Linked DNA regions of Caenorhabditis elegans. The protein of the gene in region 1 purifies or fractionates together with the protein of each later gene. This does not show direct contact. Each region holds a gene or a part of one and is shown in the gene's direction. Other genes may lie near its edges.

Region 1 (6,628 bases):
GGACGGAAAATACGCAAAAGATTCTTATCATGATAACTTTGTGTTTTCTTTGAAGATCTTTCGGAGAGATCAATATGTTTTGGGTATCTTTTCCCATTTTTTGATGTGAGAGAGGGCATCTGAACTTTGCTTTTACAGGTTAATATTGACTGCAGCAGAATTTAAGTTTGTTGATCGTGACGAAGTCGTTGTAATTTGTTGGTTACCATCCTTTTTCTATCCTTTTCGCTTCTTTTTTGTTTGTGTTTCACTCTTCGTCCAATGTGTCCATGTCATGAGTGACGAATTGACGTCACTTCAAAATTTAAGAAATTCGAATTGGTATTTCTAAGGTCTAGTTTTCAGCGCTACATTTTCTGAAATTTGCATTTTTTTTTTCCTGATCCAACACTTTTCAATTTTCTACCCAAGCTCGAAACGACAACATACGAGTTTTAATGAAAACTGGCTAGATCAAAATCGGACTGAGCTTCTGCTCGGCATAAACCATAGCCAAAGTCTTGCTTAAGATTTTCCCAAGCTTCTGAACCCAAAAAATCTTTTGGGGAAAGTTGAACACGAATTTGGCGCCAAACACCTGAAAAAAACACAATAGGTTTTTTAAAGACTTTCTACCTAGAAAAATTAGAGTATGTATCCGATGGCATGCCTATCTTGATATTTTGTCAAAAAAACCCCCTGTTTCCTTGCCTAGATTGTTTGCGATTCTAAATTTTTAGAACAAATAACCAGGCTGGTAACTTCTTAGTAGGTCAACGTGCACTTAATACTTATACAACACCTAGATCCCTTTCGTTTCCTTAGCGGTTGGGATCAGCCGACCGAGAAGGATAAGTGTGTCTGTTGGGATGGGTGGAGCTTCGGGAATATGAAATGCCCGTTTTCTTGATGACCTTGCCGGGACCGACGCGGACGAAGAGAAGAGACGGGAGACGACGTCCGTTTTGATAAAAATCAGAGGGGGTCTGTGTATAGATAGCGAGAACCAATACAGTACTTCGTCATCAGTGAAGAGACGGGAGGCGCTCGATGCATCAATTTGTCTCTCCTTCTCGACTCTTAGCGTCCACTCCGCAAAAGTCGCTACCTTCTCTTTTTCACAAAAATGTATCGTCGACGGCAACAACGATGCTGGTCCCCACTTTTTTTCACTTCTTTTTGTTGTCTTCATGCACTATTACACACTTTTTCGGACTGCAGAGAGTGAGAGAAAGGGGGCGAACGAACTGGTTTACCCCCGATCGACCCGATATGAATTGGACGCCCCTTTTCCAACCAGATATTGTTTGAAAAGACAAAAGACTCTCGAGAAGGTGACGATGATTAGGAAAAGTAATCGAGACAAGACTTTAAGAGAACATCATTAACAAGATTTGAGAGAATCGAGCCAAAGATAGGTGAAACATCAGTAACCCCATTTTCTTACCGCACCCATTTTTGCATTCGCCGAGATGATACAAATGCACTTTTCTTATTTCTCATGTGATACCTTTTTCATCATATCTTTGTTGCGAATCAAAACCGTTTTCATTCTAGGTTTTTGAAGGCCAATAGGCATGTCCAGCCTGAAAGTGTTCATTTTCTCCACCCACTTCGATCCACCCCTTGATCATCTTTTTTCATACTTTTCTTAAATTTCTTCTACCCTTCTTTTTCTTTCTCACTCTCTATATCTCTCTTCTCATTCAGAAATTCCAACAATTCTTTAAATTCACAGCTTCATCGTCACCCCCCTTCATCATCGATTTCTGTGTATCGTTCGTTGCAAGTGCTACCTATCATCTATCTCCGCTTCGCTGACCCACTTCGCCCCGTCCGTTTTCACCCCAACATCCTCTCCTTTGCAGTACTAGTGGCACAGCGTGTCATCCTCCTTTTATCGCCTAGTTTTGATCTACTCGATACTTTCATTAGTCTTCGTGCGCCGTCCACAACTCTTCCAACCGAATTCCAGGATCTTGGGTTCTGCGCCACGTTGACAACACAAATGGAACAACTCAAATGCCACGTCAAACAGTATGCGTGGGGAAAATATGGTGAGGAGAGCGAGGTGGCGAGACTATTTGCAGACGGTCATGAAAGTTTCCAAATTGATCAGAAGACACCATATGCTGAGGTAAGTATTTTTAATTAAAAAAAACACTTTTTCCTATATATCTTGCACCCTCATTGTTCTATGGCTAATTCCTGGTCACGTCATTAATTTCCAGCAACATTCATTACATTGGCCTGATCTAGATATCTTGCCAAAGTGGCAGCTAGAAAATCTCCGAAAATTCTGAATAAAAACGGAATAAGAAAAAAGTATTTTGTGTCAGATGGAAAACTGGAATAGGAGATTGATTCAAACATAAACGAACAATAAATAGTTCGTATAGTTTTCAATCTTAAAAAAGTAATTTGAATAGAATTCAAGAATAAAACAATATCGAATCGGAATCGTTTTCCTGAACAGAGTTCAAAATACACTTTGACAATAAGCATTATTTATTCATTACTATAACAATTCGTAAAAACTAGGAAATCGTATGTAAGTGCCAGATTAAAAAATAGCTCACATCTTCATACATTTTGGTAAGTTTCCACTCCACCGCCTTGTAGGTCCCGTGGGAGAAAGGCTGCGATTTTTGTGTTATTTCACCCATCTTATCAAATAATTGAATATCAAATATCATGCGAAACTATGTTCTTGGGGTTTGAGTCCCCGATGTAAATTTAATTTTATTCTGACTTCACTCAATCCTATTTCCTGGTATTCCCTTTGCCTCACTCCGTGTTTCCTTATATTCATTCATTAATCCATATTTCTTAATACTTTACTAAACCCAATATTGGCTAGAAAATTGAAATTTATATGAAATGTTACCTGGGAATATGACACAGGTAAACTATATGCTCACATAGGAACAATTTAAAATAAATACCTAGGGAGGGTTCATGGTAAATATGTATATACATACCTCTGAAAAGCTTTACATTCTTTTTTGAATACAGTTATTTTATTGGAGCCGATAATCATTGGTCTGAACCATTTAAAAAAGTGCAAACTTTTTTAATCTCTGTTGATCTCTGCTGCAGGAAAAAGTGACAAAACCGAATCTTCTGTAGATAAAGAAGTGTTTGGAAAACCTGATTGGTGATGGTTTTTTGAACCGATGTTGTTCTTGAACACAGTGATCAGACAGAGAAACCATGATTCGTAGCCTAGTAATTTAACGTTTTGTAGCTATGGATGGGAACCCACCCCGATGGACCAGCTCAGCTCAAGAAATGCTCCACCAAACTGTCGACGTACTTGGCAAAGAACCCATCTCCATTGACAAACAACAATTCGGCAAAGAACATTCATTTGCCATTTATCATGAAGGTGATGTCGATCAGAACCACCTTGTCACTACAAGTTCATCCAACCAAAGTATGTAATGAATTATAGCAGTTGGTTACCACGAGAGTTTTTATAGGAACAAGCTCGCCGATTGCATGAGAAAGACCCTATTCACTATCCTGATAGGAATCACAAACCAGAGCTGGCCTACGCACTTACCCGTTTCGAACTTCTTTGCGGATTCCGGCCAGCTAGAGAGATTTTGCAGAACCTTCAGAGTAAGTTGAACACACTAAGGTTTTAGTTTCAACGTCTTGTTAAAGTTTAAAAAAAAGTATAAACTTGGATCAAAAGTTGGCAGTGTTTGGGCAAAAATTTGTTCCAAGCCGCGCTGGCAAACGCTAGTCCAATTTTTTCTAATGTTTTTCTCAATCTTTTCCTGAGTTGTTTGGAATTTGGGTAAAATATTATATCAGCTCGGCCAACATTTGTGATAGACCCGAAAAAAGCCTTGTTCAGCCTTTACAATGCCTTTTCAACATCTGAACAAGATTTGCGTTTTCAAACATAACAATTAAGTAAGAAGAAGAACCCGAGAAACTCAATTATCTAGTCACATATTGGTTATTCCAGCCTTCCCATCATTCCGGTTACTTTTCGGAGGAGACACGTATGCTAAACCACTCGAAGATTGCATTCAACAAATGAAGGATCTGAACTCAGTTGACCAGAAATCTACAGAATTTAAAGACTCGAGAAAATATTTGGAGGACTGCTTTAGATTTATGATGGTTCCAGAAAGAAATGATGTTCATGTGGGTGTTTTTTTAATGATTTAATATTTTAAATTCAAACAATTTTTATGTTTGAATCGAAAATCGCAATTAACGTTTTTCGAGCATCCTATTTAAATTTCAATGATTCTTAATTACTAAACCCCATTTTTGAAAACCACGATTTCTGTTTTGTTTTTTTTAAAATCTATTTTATTCGGTATTTTCAATGTTTTCGCGTGAGGGAAAAACGATACATAAGGATTTTTAAATGATTACAAACTAGATAACTAATTAAGTTATCAGTGCTACACCAACCAAACTGGCAAGCAAATTGTGAAGCAATTTTTTTTTATAATGTTTGCGTATTAATAAATTTAAATACTGCTTGATTTTGATATAAACTTTCAAAACACTTTGGCAACCTGTTTGCAAATCCTTTCAAAGTTTTGTATTTCATTTTCTAACTTAAACTTTAAATTTCCAGGACCTGATTGCAAAGCTTCTTTCCGAACTTGACAATGGGCTTCGTGGTGCAGTTGAAGAAGTAACAGTAGGAGTGATTCGAAAAATGTCGGTTGATTTTCCAAATGATATTGGAATCTTCTCCCCACTTTTCCTCAATCACATGATTCTCGAACCAGGACAATGTTGTTATTATGCTGCTGAAGAACTTCATGCCTATCTCAGTGGTGAATGTGTTGAATGCGTGGGATGTTCAAACAATACGATTCGGGCCGCCATGACTCCAAAATACATTGACAGAGATGCTCTTTGCAGTGTTCTTAACTACAAGATGACAGAGCAAAAAGATTATTTGGTGCCAGAGAACAAGTTGACTGAATGTGTTGATATGTATGCACCAGATTGTAAAGATTTCCAACTTCATAGAATACGAGTAGGAACACATCAGACTGTTGAAGAAATGATGATTCCAACTCTTGATTGCGCATCCATCTTTGTAGTTGTCAGCGGAAAAGGTACACTAGAAGAGGCGACAATTGACAATCAGCTGATTGGACAGTATGAAGTTAAAAGAGGAGATATCTTCTATATTCCACCAAAGCATAATATCAGGTAAGTACGACTATATCTAAACTTTTATAAATTATTTGATATTAAATGTGGTCTCCTTCCTAGAAGTATTCATTATTAGCCATATTCTTTTGTCTTGAAATGTATTTTCTCTCATTCTTAAAAGTTTTTGCCAGTATCCAATTCGTTTTATTCTAAAGATTAAGAAAGGAACGACACGAAACTAATTAGAAACTTCCTGTTCAACAACTACTTTCAAATGTTTTATTTTTAGATTCTCAAGCTGCTCGGAACCATTAGAAGGATACAGGACGTTTAGTTACGAAATGGGACCAGATCATGACACACGGCTCGTCACTCCAGTTCAAAATGCGGTGCCTACGATTACTGAGAAAATGTTCAAATTAGATGCAGATATGGAAGAAGCGATCACCGCTGTTGTTTAATCTCTTTGTTTTGCATTTAATTTCAAATATTTTTCACTGTTTGAGCACTGATAATATTCTAAAGATATCATCCGTGTGCCGAATTACGGGGTAATACCAACACTTTTTTCAATGGAAAGTACAGTATCTTTTTGTAGTTTTTTTCATTATTTTTCTGTATGTCACTCTGTTCTCATTTCTAAAATGCTTCCTTTGTTTAAAAGGCGTTTTTTCTTCAATTTCTTCATTCCAATTGGCTTTTACCATTCATTCCTATGCTCCTCCACCAATCGCTCCGATCTACAATGCCATGAGAGTTCGTGGCTGCCGCTTTTTGCGCCTCGATCTACCCGAATCTTCTAGTTTTCGACACTTTTACCTTACCTTTTTTCCCCAATTTTCCCATTCGTTTCACCCCAGTCTCTCTTTCTCTTTATGATTTTTTTTGCAATTATTTTCTTCATGCTATCAGTTGTGCAAATTTATCTAGTTGTTTTTATTTTGAACATTGCCCAGAATAAATTTCACAATCAAAAAAAATTTTTTTTTGCTCTTCGTTCTACATTTAAATTTTTATATGATGTCGAAAAAAATGCAAACATGTATTTTTACATTTTTTTGACTTATTCAAATTTGTCAAAAATTTAAAATTAATGTTTTTAGATAGTTGGACTCTTTTAGATAAGATAGTTGGACTCTTTTTAAGGAAAATGTATTTTATAACGTGTAGAACTGTAGTCAATCATAAACTGGGAGCTGAAAAAATGAGAAATTAGACAACACCAGCTATATAAAGAAATGCTAGCAAAATTGCAAAAGTTTAGCAAATTGCGACCACCAAGACGAGAGCCGCAGTTAGGATAATAATTCTATAATGTTGGTGTCGCCACAGCGAAATTTGCGATTTGCAAAATTCATCTAAAAATTGGAGACAATGAGTTTTTTAACGACAAAACACCTGTGTTAGCAGGAAGTTGCTCTCAAATGCTCCAATTCTGAAAGTCACCAAAAAAGTGACGTTTTGTATCGACAACACGTAATTTGATTTGGTTGAGGAACAGTCGACTATA
Region 2 (4,998 bases), on another chromosome or scaffold:
GCATTAATTATACTTACGAAGGTCGCAGACTTTTATCTTCGTTTGTTTTCGATTTTGCATACTTTTGTGTGTTTATTGATTTTTTTTTTCGTGTGAAATTTGAAATCTTTTATTGTCGGCGGAGCGAATTTGCATTAATGTTTTTGTTAAATTAGGTAAGAAGAAGACATTTTATATTAAAAATTTATAAAAGCTATCGATTTTCTATAATATTGGTGTAACATTTTAGGGTGTTTTAGCGGAAAGCCAAAAATTTCTGAATTTTCTTTTTAATTGTTGACTTTTTCAAACATTATTTGTATTTTACATACCAATTTTGTTTAAGAATTTAAAAAAAAAATAATAATTCAAATATGACGAAAAAACATTATCCGGACGTTAAGTTTGCTATTTTTGAGAAAAAAACAATAAACGACAAATTTTCTCAAATTCGGAAAACTATGCGTCTTTACAGAGTACTATAATTTTACCCTAAATAAATTCTGCAGTGTTTTTTTCTATTTAATTTACATAGATTTCTCACATTTTTTTCAAAAAAATAAATAAGTGCACAAAACTGAAAATTGATGAAAATTCCAAAAAGATAAATTACAGTACTCTTTAAAGACGCACACTTTTTGGCATTTAACTAACATTAGTCGTATCGAGGCCGGGTATCACATTTTTGGCGGAAAATTGCAAAATTAATTAAAATTTTGCAATTTTGCGTCTGAGTAATATATTTACAAGATGGTGGAGTTGTTTAATACTTGAGTTTTTCTAAATTCAAAAATTTCAGAGATTTTTGTGAAACTTTTTTTCTATTTTTTGGGTTAAGGCAATTTTCTATTTTCTATGTTTCAGTTTTCCGGTGTACCCCTCCACCTTATTCCTAGTGACCTTACTTGTCTCGGGTCCTTCATTACCTTCCCTTTTCGTCTTCTAAACGCATCTCACAAAAGTTAAGTGTTGACTCATTTCTCTCCCTCAAAAACCTTACATGTTCCTTTTTCGGAATGCCTCACACAACAAACCAGCGATGCATTTCCGAACACACATATGTCCACCCATAAAAGTGCGATAAGTAGATTTTGACTGTATATTCCCTGCAGGTGGTCTCTTTCTCTCTCTCTCTTCTTTCTGTCGGTTAGTACCAGAAGCCTGTCTCCCGTTTTGTCATATTCTTCTCTTTTCCTGATGCTTCTTCTCCACTACTACCACCTGTCTTCTTCTTCCCTTCCATTCCGTTCGTTTTCCTATTATCGTATTAGTATATACTAATATGCGTTTGACGTTGGAAACCTGAAGTAGATTCTCTCCGGAAGATAGATTACCACATTTTCACTAGTCGGTTGTTGGATTTATGAAGCTGTTAACACATACTTTTTATTAGCTGGACAGTTCAGGAATGGATTTGGCTTGGGCTTAGGCTTAGGTTTAAGCTTAGGCTTGGGTTTAGGCTTGGGTTTAGGCTTAGGCTTCGGCTTGAACTTAGGCTTAGGCTTAGACTTAGGCTTATGGTGAAGCTTAGGCTTAGGCTTAGGCTTAGGCTTACGCTTACGCTTAGGCTTACGCTTAGGCTTACGCTTAGGCTTACGCTTAGGCTTAGGCTTATCCTTAGGCTTAGGATTAGGCTTAAGCTTAGGCTTCGGCTTCGGCTTCGGCTTAGAGTTAGGCTTAGGCTAGGCTTAGACTTAGGCTTGTTCTCTAAATTTTTAATGTTTTTTTTGTTGCAAAGACTATAGTTTTTTAACAACTTCATGACGCATTTTATTTAAGCTTGTAAACTTCTAGGCTTATAGATTTTAATGTAAAATTTCGGGAATTGGAAATTTCGATATTGAATAAAAAAATTTCCAAACAACGTTTGCAACATTTTTCTTTAGAAAAAAAATTGTTTTTTTCTTTTTTATTTTCACATTGTCTTTTGTTCCTTAAGTTTTTATTCCAACTTTGCTAAAAGTATTTACAGTTAATTTTCAAAATTATCTGCAGAAATGGATTTCGATTTCGATTCGGAGCCAAAAACGCCTCCTCAACTACCCCCTGCTCCACCGATTCGGACAGTGTCGAATAACCCAAAAGTCACGTTTAAAGGCGCACAGACTTGGAGAGAATCTGTCGGAATGTTTTTGGTTATGGCACTGGCATTGGCAGTGGCGGTTAGTTTTTCAAATTTTCCCCAAAAAATTTAAGTTCAAAATCCGACCGCGGTCACACTTGGCCGGAATCCATCTGCTATCTTTAGTGAACCGGATATGAGAAAAAGTTTGTTTCGAAAAAGGAAAAAAAAGAAGATTATATGCACATGAATACTGCTTCACATTTTTGCAAAAAGAAATATGTTGTGTGCTTATTTTCAAACTTTTTTGGGATTGGAACTTTCCGGTACACTGAGCTTTAAACCGAATTATTAATAGGATTAAAATAAGCTGGGAAGGGGGTTCCGGGAAGATTATAAATTTTTTTTTTGGTTTAACTGGAAAAAGATTATTACTAATGAGATACTAGGTATACAAATAAATAAATAACAAAAATGCACGAAACCTTGTGAAAACTGCAAAACGAAATTTCGAAAAGACAAAATTGAAGAGTGAATTTTTGAAGCATGAGTCTACAGATATTAAGCCAAAGAGCTGAGCCTGAAAGACTCAACTTGAAGGCCTACATTTGAAGGCCTACGCCTGATAGCCTGGATGGGATGTGTCGAAAAGCCCTTGGGATTAAGTCGAAAGACTTAATCCCAAGGGCCTTGGCCTAGGGTCCTAAGCAAAAAAGCCCAAGCCTTAGCCTGAAGGTATAAGCCCAAACGTTTCGGATTCCCAAAATACTTCCTGACTCATAACTCAATTTTAGAACCAAATCTGACTGAATCACAAAATGTTTCGGGAACTCAAAAGAATCTATGACCTGATTACTCGGTTATTCTTAATAAACACCCTCTGCAGCTGTAAATACATTATGAATAGGTGCTAGTTAGATAGATCAAAAGTTTTTGTTAGATCAAAAAGTGAAGAGGAAGTCAGAAAAGTTGGGTTCGAATAGTGATATGGTCTATTAGAGAAATAATTGAATCTTTGAATCTGTGAGTCTGTGTCGGAAAAATATGTTAACTACAAACTAGGATTTTCTCCTTTTCGTAGTGAAAAATATAGTTTAGAAAAAGCTAGCTTAGTGGTAGTCCTAAACCTGAGACTCGGTTTAGGCCTACTCCTGAGCCTAGAACTAGGCATAAGCAGGTGTCTAAGCCTAAATACATATCTGAAGACCATACTTAGGTTAGAAGCTTAAGTGCCAGCTCTTGCAACCTTGAAATGCTTAACATCTACTAACCGAAGTTGTGAATCCTGATGGCCTAGCTCAAAGCCTAAACCTAGAGCTAGCCTTAAGCCTAGCCCTTAGTCCTAGGTTAATGCCTAGTCTTGGGCCTAAATCTAGTCCTAGGCCCAAACATGGCTATAGACCTAAACCTGACCATAAGCCTATGGCCAACGCATAAGTCTAGCCCTAGTCTAGCCAGTCCTGTTCCTAAAATTTCTGAAATCTGAAAAAATCTGAAACTTTTCGGTACTCTCGCTTCTTTGTTATGAATTTTTCATCTTGTTGTTCACTTTTAAGCATCTGAAATTATCTGAAAACCCTGAAAATCCCTAGAAAAAACAAGACACTTTTGATATATAAAAATGTAATTTATTACTTTTTTTGGAAGCTTTAATGTCAATTTTGGTTCAATATATACAAAGAAAGTAAGGGTTTCTAGAGTCTACAACAATTCAAAAAACAATGAAGAAAAAACAACAAAATAACATTTAAAAAACAAAACCGGAAAAAAATAGTAGTTCGAATGTGGAGAGACCCGTGAAGGCGGCTTGTGTAGATTTTTGTACAGATATTTAGAACAGTTAGGGCTCATAGAGGAGCTTTCCAAGAAGCTTAATAAAATGCAGATACACATCTGCGGAACCCACGTCGCTTCTCCTCGATAGTCCTCTGGATTGCAGCCTTGACTGCTGGGGAGCGGTGAGCATCGACGTTGGTGAGAATGTCTTGATTGATGTGGAACATTTTGTAGAGAATTTAGAAATTAGAGCAATTGAAGAATTTGAAAAACTCAAGAGATTAGAGTATTATCAGTGTGTTCTCTTGCTCTTGCTTATATAGGCACCCGTGTGCTCTGGTGATAATTGGCTCCGCCCCGCGTTATCCATCCAACCGAGCATGGTCATGAGGCGAGAGACGGGTGAACAAGAAGAAGTCAGAAGAAGATGAATAGAGAGGAGTCATAGGAGCTAATTAATCAGCAAGATTTTTTGGAGGGGAAAAGGGTACCACGAGGTTTCTCGAGCAAAGCTTGCTTGAGAAGGGGTACTGTAAGGGAGCAGAACTTTTGATGTTTCTAGAAATGGGAAAACGTTTTTTTGAAAAAAATCAAAGCTCAGCTTTGGATGAGGTGTATGCCAAAAGTCTTGAACCAAGCTTAAGCCTAATAGTAACCGTGAAGAAAGAAGCCTGAGACTAAATCTAAAGGCCCTAGTTTAAAGGCCTAAGTTTGAGCTTCAGCGTAAGCCTAAGACTAAGCCTAAGCCTCAACTCAAGCCTAAACATATGCCCAAGCCTAAGACTGAGCCTAAATCCCAAGCCTATGCATAATTCTAAGCCTAAGCCTAAACGTCAAGGGTTTGCCCAACGTTCTAAGCCCAAGAACTCGGCCTCATTTTCTTCCGAATTTGTAGTTTTTGATACCTTTTTTTCTGAATTCTCGTCAAACCTTCCAAAATTTCAAAGCCTACAATTTCCAAATTACTCTGTTTTGACCAACATAATTGCCGGCTGAAAGATCAAATTGAAACTTTTTATTCCAGAAAAAATCGGGTTTCCTGCAAAAGCCCGAGCCAATTTGTGCGCAGTTTTGCCCTATAATTTTCTCTAATTTCATGAGAATCTCGTTTACTTGAACTTTGAAAATTAATGGCTGGTGTTTGAAATTTTCATACCCCAGAAGATTCTCTTGACTGGACA
Region 3 (4,063 bases), on another chromosome or scaffold:
GAAGACGACATTCTTCTTGGCTAGAACATCGTAAAACACCCTTGGACGACTTGAGGTATTTCCAACAAAAGGAAGAGTTGTGGGCCTCCTTCTTGAAACGGCATCCTGACGAACTGGTTCAGAAAGATCTTTTGCGGTTTTTCTGACTCCAGTTCTAGGATTGGCTACGGTTTTGGTTTTGCATTTTGTACGAGCCATACCCTGAAAAACAAAAAAAATAATGTTTAGGGAACATTGTTACAAAAGGAGAAGAAGCAAATGAGATAAAGTTGGTAGACTACAGACAAGAAAATGCAAAGAATGATAACCCTAGAATTGGTAAGAATGAAGGGGTGTTATTGCGAAACATTACTGGCTGCGAGGGTTTCACAATGAATTTTCCGTTTTTTTTTTTTTTAATATTTCGCAATACTACATTGTAGATGACTAGAGGGAGGACCGCCCTTCTTCACATATCACAGAAACGACGAGAGGAATCGGAAGAGAGCGCGTGGCGATGAGAGAAGCTCGTGCATCAGCAGGTATTGCGAAATATCATCGCGGCACTACGATCAACACAAGTGTCAGAGAAGGAAACTACGGGGACCGAAACGAGAGATAGAGAATGAGTGGGTAGATGGTCGAATAGTGATAAAATCAAATGTCTCGAGAACTGTAAGACTGTTCACAAACGAGTTGTAACCGATTAGGGGAGCCATGGTTGGAAATTGAAGTCATAATTTGCAATTTGATTAGGCTATTAAGCATATTTAATATTATAGTATTTTACTCTGTTCTGAAGATGAATTTGAAGAGCAAAACAAGAAGCAGGAGGAAATAATTGTTTTTTCCATGTCTTAGGCATCTACGTATATGAAAAAGAAAAAGCATGATCTCTTTGGAACAAGGAAAAAGATAGCTGGCTCAACACCAATGACAGATGAATAAGGAGAAAAGCTAGAGCCCACACACACGTGCGCATTCACTCGTCATTTCACTCTTCTCTCTTTTTGTCTCTCTACGTGTTTTTTTCTTCATCTCCAATCCGTCTCCTACGCGGCACATAAGGCGAGAGTCAGACAGCACAGTACAGCGCACACCGAGAGCGAGACGTTAGAGACACGCAGTAGAGACCAGTTCCGTTGCAAGCGTCGCGGTCGATAGTACGCGACGCGTCGTTTCTCAGAGAAGACAGAGATAGAGGAATGGAGGGGCCCCCGTTTTTGTCCAGTGTCTCTTTCCTCGTGATATTCCATTGCGTAGCACTCCTCGTACAACTGCTCCTCTCTCTCTCTCCGACATTGCCTCTTTTAGCTTTCTGGAGGCCAATGGATTCTCTATTGCTTTTGGACGTGGCGTTCATCTTTCTCTATCCCAACTACTTCCACATTTGTCTCTCTCTCCCCGTCGGTTTTCCCCTACTTCCAACTAATGACAACTTGGCAGTCAGTCTCTAATAGCCACTTTCTTTTGTGTGGTCTATCTATTCTCATTGCTACTTTTTTGTATCCTTTTTTCTGAAACGAATAACCAAAATATAATCCGCAACTTTCAGGTAACAAAAACACATAAAAATGACGGCTGCTCCTTACAATTATTCGTATATTTTCAAATATATTATTATTGGTGATATGGGTGTCGGAAAATCGTGTCTTCTTCATCAGTTCACAGAAAAGAAGTGTAAGTCCCGCATTCCTGGAAAATCGATATATCATGTTGTTTGTGTCAACATTAGTCATCAACAAGAGACCTGTTCCTCCGGTCAATAACCACCGTACAATCACTGCGGGCAACAAACGCAAAAACTAACTATAACTAACTTTCAGTCATGGCCGACTGCCCGCACACAATCGGCGTGGAATTCGGCACCAGGATTATTGAGGTCAGCGGACAGAAGATCAAGCTTCAAATCTGGGACACGGCGGGCCAGGAGCGATTCCGCGCTGTGACGCGATCATATTATCGTGGAGCAGCCGGAGCCTTGATGGTCTACGACATCACTCGCCGTTCTACCTACAATCATTTGAGCAGCTGGTTGGCCGACGCAAAAAGCTTGACCAATCCAAATACGGTAGGTAAAATATATACTTGGTTTATAATTTTTACTCAAAAGTAGGGTTGAAAAATATATAAAAACTCGAATTTATACTTTATAAAAGCATTCCCAAGTTCCAAAATTAAAGCGAATTTGAACTTTCAGCAAAATTTCAAAACTACATAGATGTACGCCATGTTTAGTAAATTGCAATTTATGAATTTTTGCAAGCATAACATTTATTTGCAGCTCAAAAGATCGTAGACTATAAACTGAATTTCAATCAAAATTCTCATGAATCAGATTTAAGCTGGAAAACATTCAATCTGTATGTGCTCTAAATTGTGTGTTTTATCGTTAAACTAATATCTAAAAAAAACGAGTTAAAATTGGGTTATCTAGTTTTATTTGGAGAGTTAAAAATCTACCTGTATTAGTAAGAAAACAGTATTTCGTCCACTTTGCACTGATTTAATTTTACAATAAAAATGAGATTCAAGCACCAATTCTCACAAGTTCCTTTTTCAGGCCATCTTTCTTATCGGAAACAAAGCCGACCTCGAAGATCAACGTGACGTGCCATACGAGGAAGCAAAAGCTTTCGCCGAAGAAAACGGGCTCACTTTCTTGGAGTGCAGTGCGAAGACGTAAGTTTCTTCCCCCCACCCCCCCACTGCAAATTCATCAATTTCAAATGGCTTTTTTTTCAGTGGCAGTAACGTCGAAGACGCTTTCCTCGAAACGGCCAAGCAAATCTATCAGAATATCCAAGACGGAAGTTTGGACTTGAACGCCGCCGACACTGGCGTCCAGCCAAAACAGAACTTGCCACGTGCAGCTGAAAATAATGGGAAGAAGGACTGCAACTGCTAGTTGATGTGTGCAAAGTCCCTTCTTCCCCTCAAATCATTCCCAATTGATTTTAATGTATTTTTTTAAATTATTACTTTCTAATCCGTCTATCTGTATGTGAGAGCTTGTCACCCATTATCATTAAAATGCCAGAAGAATCAACATTGGGTGGTATGGTTTCTTGTTTCCAAATTCTAGTTGCCTGTCAAAATCTAAACTTGTAATCACTATAAAACTACTCTGAAATTCAGAACTTTGTGTCACTTTTACTTACCAATTCCCAGTCTTTTTCAGTCCCCCACCCATTACTCACTATCATCATCGAACTGTGAACCGTTCATAATATAACACTTTCGCTCACCCAACCAACTGCATATTTAGTAGATTTTTTCTGTCAAAAACCGTTTTGAACATTTTTCCCCCATTCCTTGTGTGATAAGAAACATCTATATGATCCCACCCCATTAAGTGCTATAATTGTGCTTTGAAAATCAAAAAAACTAACGATTTTTGTCATTTTTGTCACTTTTCCTTATAAATAGTTCTCTGTTGTTAGTTTTATGAACCTATGATTTCAGAAAACTTTTTCAAAATTTATTTTTTTTGTTTAATCATTTTTCAGCAAAATTCAATTGTACATATAATATTTAAAAAAACTATTCATTGAAGCATGAAGTGCTCAATCTTCAAAGTTAACATCACCAGTAATAGTCAAATGTGTTTTCAAGTGTGCGTAAATTTTTCTAATGACAGAGTAATCCGTGGCTGAAATGGGATTCTAGTCACGGGTGGGCAGCAAACGATTGTTTCCGGCAAATCGGCAAATCGGCAGATTGCAGGAATTGCAGATTTCCGGCAAATCGGCTAATCGGCAAATTGCCGATTCGCCAAATTTGCTGGAAAAAAAGAAACTTGCCAAAAAATTTCTGCAAATTGTGGTTTCGCACTTATTTTTTTGGAAATTTTAGAATTCCAATTTCAAATGACAAAATTTTACGCATCCTATGAATATTCCTACATCTATTTCGAAAAGTAAGCAAATTCTATGAAAATATGTAGACAAAACGGAAAAAATTCAAAAAAAAACGGTTTTAAGAGTTTCCGTTCTATAAAAAGTCCCTCTAAAAATTTCCGGGAAATCTGATATTCGGCAAACGGCAAATCGGCAACTTGCCGAAAATGAAAATTTCAGGCAAA
Region 4 (4,847 bases), on another chromosome or scaffold:
TTTGTTAAAAACTTGAGAATTTTTCCAGAAAATCAATTTTTCCAAATTTTCAGGAAGTGCTGGAGCTGTTCAACTCGATCGAACGTGCCAATCCTCGACTCTACAAGACCCTGCAACAAATTCCCGGCCAATCCCGTTCGACACGTAACGCTCAACACGAGAATCGCTCTCTGCCGGATATTGAGCAAGATTTGGACGTTTACACGTCTGCCGAGCAGCTTCACGAGCATTTGAGCCAATTCTTCCGTCATGCACGTGGATACATTGAGACTCATAACCCAAGAAAGTTGGATGATCTTGATGAGCTCATTTCTGAACTCAATTTTATGTGATTTATTTCGGAATACACTGAAAAATCTTCTTTTTTTTTTGAAAGTGTATCATTTTTATTGTGAAAAGTGTCCTAAAATGCAGTTGAAATGTTGAAAAATCGGTTTTTTAAATTAAAAATTTAAATTTTCGGAATTTTTTCCCAAAAAAATTGAATATTTTAAATTTTCCGATTTTTTTTCCAAAAAATTCGAATTTTTCAAATAAAAATTTCCAAAAATATGAATTTAATTTTTTTTTTGAAAAAATTCGAAATTTTTCGACTTTTATTTGCAAATTTGGAGATTTTTCCAGTTTTCGCAGAATTTTTTGATATTTTTTCTACATTTTTTACTTTTTTCCCTATTTTCTCACTATTTAATCCCAAAAAAAACTATCAATTTCTTATTTTTCTCACTTTTTCACAGATTCTCCAAATTTTCCTGTCCCTTTAAGATTTTTTTTCACCCCCCGGCAACGAGTTTTGGCATTTTTTTGAAATTTTTCATCATGGCATTCGATCATTTTATCTAATTTATTGTAATTTTTTGGGTGAGAACCCCCTCATTTTTCGATTGTAAAACGTTGAAATAAAGTTGGCACACGTAATAATGAAGTTACAGTAATCCAGCGGTGGGTCTCGAGTGGAAAACTTGGAAATTTTGAAATTTCCGGTTATTTTTTGCTGGAAATTGTAGGTTTTCAATGGAAAGAATTCAATTTGAAGTGAATTTCACAAAGAATTCGAAAACATGGAAAATACACAAATTCCGGAAATTTTCTGGGTCTCGAGTGTAAAACTTCAAAAATTTGAATTTCCAGGTTAATTTCGCTGATAAAGACAACTTTTCTGGTGAGAAACTCGCGACTTAGGATGAAAATTGTGGTAAATATTCAACAATTTTGGAATTTTTTGGGTCTCGAGTGGAAAATACAAAAATAATTAGATTTTTCGATTATTTTATTCTAAACATTGTGTTATAATCGTTTAAACAAACCATTTGCTTAATTTTAACGACAATTTTCGTTAAAAATATCTAAATTAAGCTTGAAAACATTTTTTTTTAACAGAAAAAACATTTGCGCGTCAATTAAAGTGTATTGTATGCAATGCGTACTTTTTCGCTTACCGTAGTTAGCACATATTTAAATAGACATTCAATTTGAATTATTCGTGAAATTCATTTGTTTGGTATAATCTATCTGATTTCAAATCTTGCTTAAACTTTCGGATTCGGCTGAAAATCCCCCGAAAATCCCCTGAAAATCGGTTAAAACCAAAACAATGCAAGTGCGCTCCATCGCACCACCGAGAGAGCACGCATTCCGTGGAGTGCGCGAGATGACGAGAGAGACGGAACCGGTTTCTTTGTTCGTTTTTGCCGATTTTGCGCCGTTTTTCATGAATTTTCCAGTTTTTTTCGCTGAAAATCAGCTAATTTATCGATTTTCTCACCATTTTTACCCTAAAAATCTTGAAAATCCACCTAAAAAGCACAGAAAACCTGGAATCTTGAAAATTTTCAGAATGGAGCCGGATATTGAGCCATGGGACCGGTTTCGCGACTGGCTTCACTGCATTTGTGTGGTCACGTTTGATTTGGAGCTTGGACAGGCGTTGGAAGTGAGGATTTGCAGAAAAACTGAAAAAAAAATGCAGAAAAATCAAAAAATCCCGGATTTTCTGACTTTTCGCTGCGAGACCCGGAAATTTTCGCATTTTTTAAAATGATTAATGTGATTATACTCAAATCAAAGCTCTCGACGAGCTGAGCACGATTTTGACAAAAAAAAAATCTGGTTTTTTCAGGTAATCTACCCAGGAGACGCAATTCTATCGAACACTGAAAAAATCAATATCTGCTATTTGGCATTTCCAGACTCGAATTCCAGTAATGCACGAGACACAAATTTTCATTTCAGGATACGCAGGTGATTTTTTGAGATTAAAAATTTCGGAAAAAAATATTTTTTTTTCAAATTTTGAGAAAAAATTTTTTTGGCTGAAATCTGAAAATTTGCGAGTGATTTCCGTGTTCAGCTCACCGAGAGCTTTGATTTAAGTATAATTATGACCTACTTTGCTGAATTTTGAAGAAAATTGGGTTTTCGTGGCGGGACCCAACTTTTTTCAAATTTCAGCAAACTAGGTCATGTTTATACTCATTTTGAAGCTTTAAGTGAGCTGAATTCAATGCAAATACTCAAAATTAAAAATTTTCAGAGCAATCAGTGACGTCAGAGACTGCCAAAAGTCGTTTGTCGACAAATCTCCGACGTCTCTACCCTTTGATACACACTATTTATACGGTTTTGTGCATTTTCGGCAATGCAAAGACCCGACAATTCATCGAGGATATTATCAGAAGGTTCATAACCGGAACGCAATAAAATTGGCGAAAATTTGAGTGAAAATTCGAGTTTTTCCCCGCTAAAATTCACTTTTTTCCGGAAAAATGGAACAATTTTTAGTATTTTCCCCTTTTTTTTGGAAAAAACGGAATTTTTTAAATGTTCGTCTTTTGCCAAAAAAAGGGTAAAACTATGGATTGTCGGCTTTTTTTCCAGAAAAATGGAAAATTTTAGGCTTTTCAATTTTTTAAAAAGGAAATTCGACAAATTGTCACAATTTTATGACCTTTCCCAGAAAAATTGGAATTATTAAGCTTTTAAGACGTTTTTTTCAGTTTTACTGGCATTTTCTTATTAATCTAGATGAGAGCTTCAATTTAAGTATAAATATGGCGTATTTTACGCAAATTTTAAACAAAATTGGGTCTCGTCACAAAATTCTACAGTAACCCACAGGTTTTCGTGGTGGGACCCAATTTTTTCAGACTTTGCGCAAAGTAGGTCAAAGTTATACGGTAACTCGAAAACAATATTGTCTGTGACTTGTGTGTTTTTCTATCCGAATTGATGGTTTGAATAGTGGTATTCTCGGCTGAAATATGCAATAAATACCGTTTTCCAACCAACAATTCGGTGCAATAGAGCACATTTGTCACCGGGGATGCGGAAGCTATGCCCAAATTTTCATTTAGCGCGGAAATTTGGCTGTTTTCGGGTGTAAAGTAGAAAATTTGGAAATTTCGACATTAAAATTTATTATAAAATTTGAAAAAAAAACCCATAAAAACCCTTTTTTCTGACAATTTTCTGTTTTTTTTAAATCCCAGTTTCCGAGGAAAGCTATAAATTTGGGTACGGTAACTCGGAATTTATGATGTTTTTTTTTTAAGCTGTAAAAACTGAAAAATTCTGCTCAATTTCCAATTTTTTGTTGAAAACCTAGTGGTTTCTTGGATTGTTCTAATTTTTAATCAAAATCCTGCTGAAAATTAGAATTTTTAGCTTTTCCGCTTGTTTTTCGGAATTTTTTGTGGCTTTTTCCAGGTAAAAAATCCGTTTTTTACGGAAAAAACGGCAAATTTTTGAATTTTTCGATGTTTTTCCCATGAAAATCAAAAAATTTGTATTTTTTGTTTTTTTTATAGGAAATTCGAATAGTTTTTTTTTTCGTGGCGAGACCCAACTTTTTCAGACTTTGCGCAAAGTAGGTCAAAATTGAACGGCAACTGAACTGAATTTCCCTATATATTGTCTGTGACTTGTGTGTTTCTCTATCCGAATTGATGGTTTGAATAGTGGTATTCTCGGCTGAAATATGCAATAAATACCGTATTCCAACCAACAATTTGTGCAATAGAGCACATTTGTCACTAGAGATGCGGAAGCTATGCCCAAATTTTCCATTTCTCAGCCTGAAAACTTGGCTGAAAATCCATTCCTTTTTTTTTTTAGCTAATTTTCTATTTCCAGAGCATCGTCCTAATGTCAGTGCTCCCACTGTTTTCCTTGTTCTACTCAGTTACCGCCCGCATCGCTGAGCATTTTTTTGAAAGTGGAGAAGCAGCAATTGAAGCAGGTAGCCGCCACCTGAAATTGGAAAAAAAAACTAAAATTTTCTGAAATTTTCCAGCCTGCCATCACATTGACACGTGGCAACAGCCGCACGCTGGTCGGACTATTGAGTTACCGTTGCTCGGTACTTTAATCAGTTGCCGCCTACCGGCCGCCTGTGATCTACCATATGAATTCCGGCTTGATGGACATGTTGAGGTAGCTAAAATTGGAAAAAATTGGAAAAAAAAAACTCGAAAAATTGAACATTTTTGGTCTGAAAAAATGTCCGGAATCTATCAGAAAATTGAAATAAATAGAGAATTGTGAAATTTTTAGCCGAAAAATTCTTATTTCTAGATATTTTTTGAAGAATATTCCAATGATGTTCCAGAATCTTTGAATTTTTTTTTAAATTTAAGAAAATCACAAAAATTTCAGAATTTTAATTCTATAAGTTTTCGAAAAAGAAAATTTCTTCAAAAAATCAGAAAATATGCTGAAAATTAACGAAAAATTGGAGATAATTTATTACAAAAATTTTCAGAAATTAAAAAAACAAAACTGAAAAATCTAAAATATTATCCAAAAAGAAGTGTATTATAAATTCACTAAAAATCTCAAAAAATCCAAAA

Evidence for each region.
Region 2: the proteins of C05C8.7 (region 1) and R03H10.2 fractionate together in Caenorhabditis elegans (co-fractionation; one large-scale study listed by BioGRID). This does not show direct contact.
Region 3: the proteins of C05C8.7 (region 1) and rab-14 fractionate together in Caenorhabditis elegans (co-fractionation; one large-scale study listed by BioGRID). This does not show direct contact.
Region 4: the proteins of C05C8.7 (region 1) and F53H1.3 fractionate together in Caenorhabditis elegans (co-fractionation; one large-scale study listed by BioGRID). This does not show direct contact.

Annotation. Positions count from the first base shown.
Region 1 is NC_003283.11:7,242,377-7,249,004, reverse strand, and holds C05C8.7 (mannose-6-phosphate isomerase), read left to right. Parts: upstream 1-1,954; 5' UTR 1,955-1,987; coding exon 1,988-2,116; intron 2,117-3,226; coding exon 3,227-3,415; intron 3,416-3,461; coding exon 3,462-3,603; intron 3,604-3,958; coding exon 3,959-4,140; intron 4,141-4,585; coding exon 4,586-5,175; intron 5,176-5,407; coding exon 5,408-5,579; 3' UTR 5,580-6,092; downstream 6,093-6,628.
Region 2 is NC_003280.10:4,153,799-4,158,796, forward strand, and holds the start of R03H10.2 (uncharacterized protein), read left to right. Parts: upstream 1-1,974; 5' UTR 1,975-1,976; coding exon 1,977-2,141; intron 2,142-4,998.
Region 3 is NC_003284.9:15,604,107-15,608,169, reverse strand, and holds rab-14 (Ras-related protein Rab-14), read left to right. Parts: upstream 1-1,534; 5' UTR 1,535-1,553; coding exon 1,554-1,659; intron 1,660-1,805; coding exon 1,806-2,050; intron 2,051-2,542; coding exon 2,543-2,661; intron 2,662-2,724; coding exon 2,725-2,887; 3' UTR 2,888-3,535; downstream 3,536-4,063. Other genes in the region: Protein nipi-3, read right to left, coding at 1-198.
Region 4 is NC_003282.8:1,327,326-1,332,172, forward strand, and holds the start of F53H1.3 (UDENN domain-containing protein), read left to right. Parts: upstream 1-1,836; 5' UTR 1,837-1,837; coding exon 1,838-1,933; intron 1,934-2,119; coding exon 2,120-2,241; intron 2,242-2,533; coding exon 2,534-2,678; intron 2,679-4,131; coding exon 4,132-4,237; intron 4,238-4,291; coding exon 4,292-4,431; intron 4,432-4,847. Other genes in the region: F53H1.4 (PHD-type domain-containing protein), read left to right, coding at 54-332.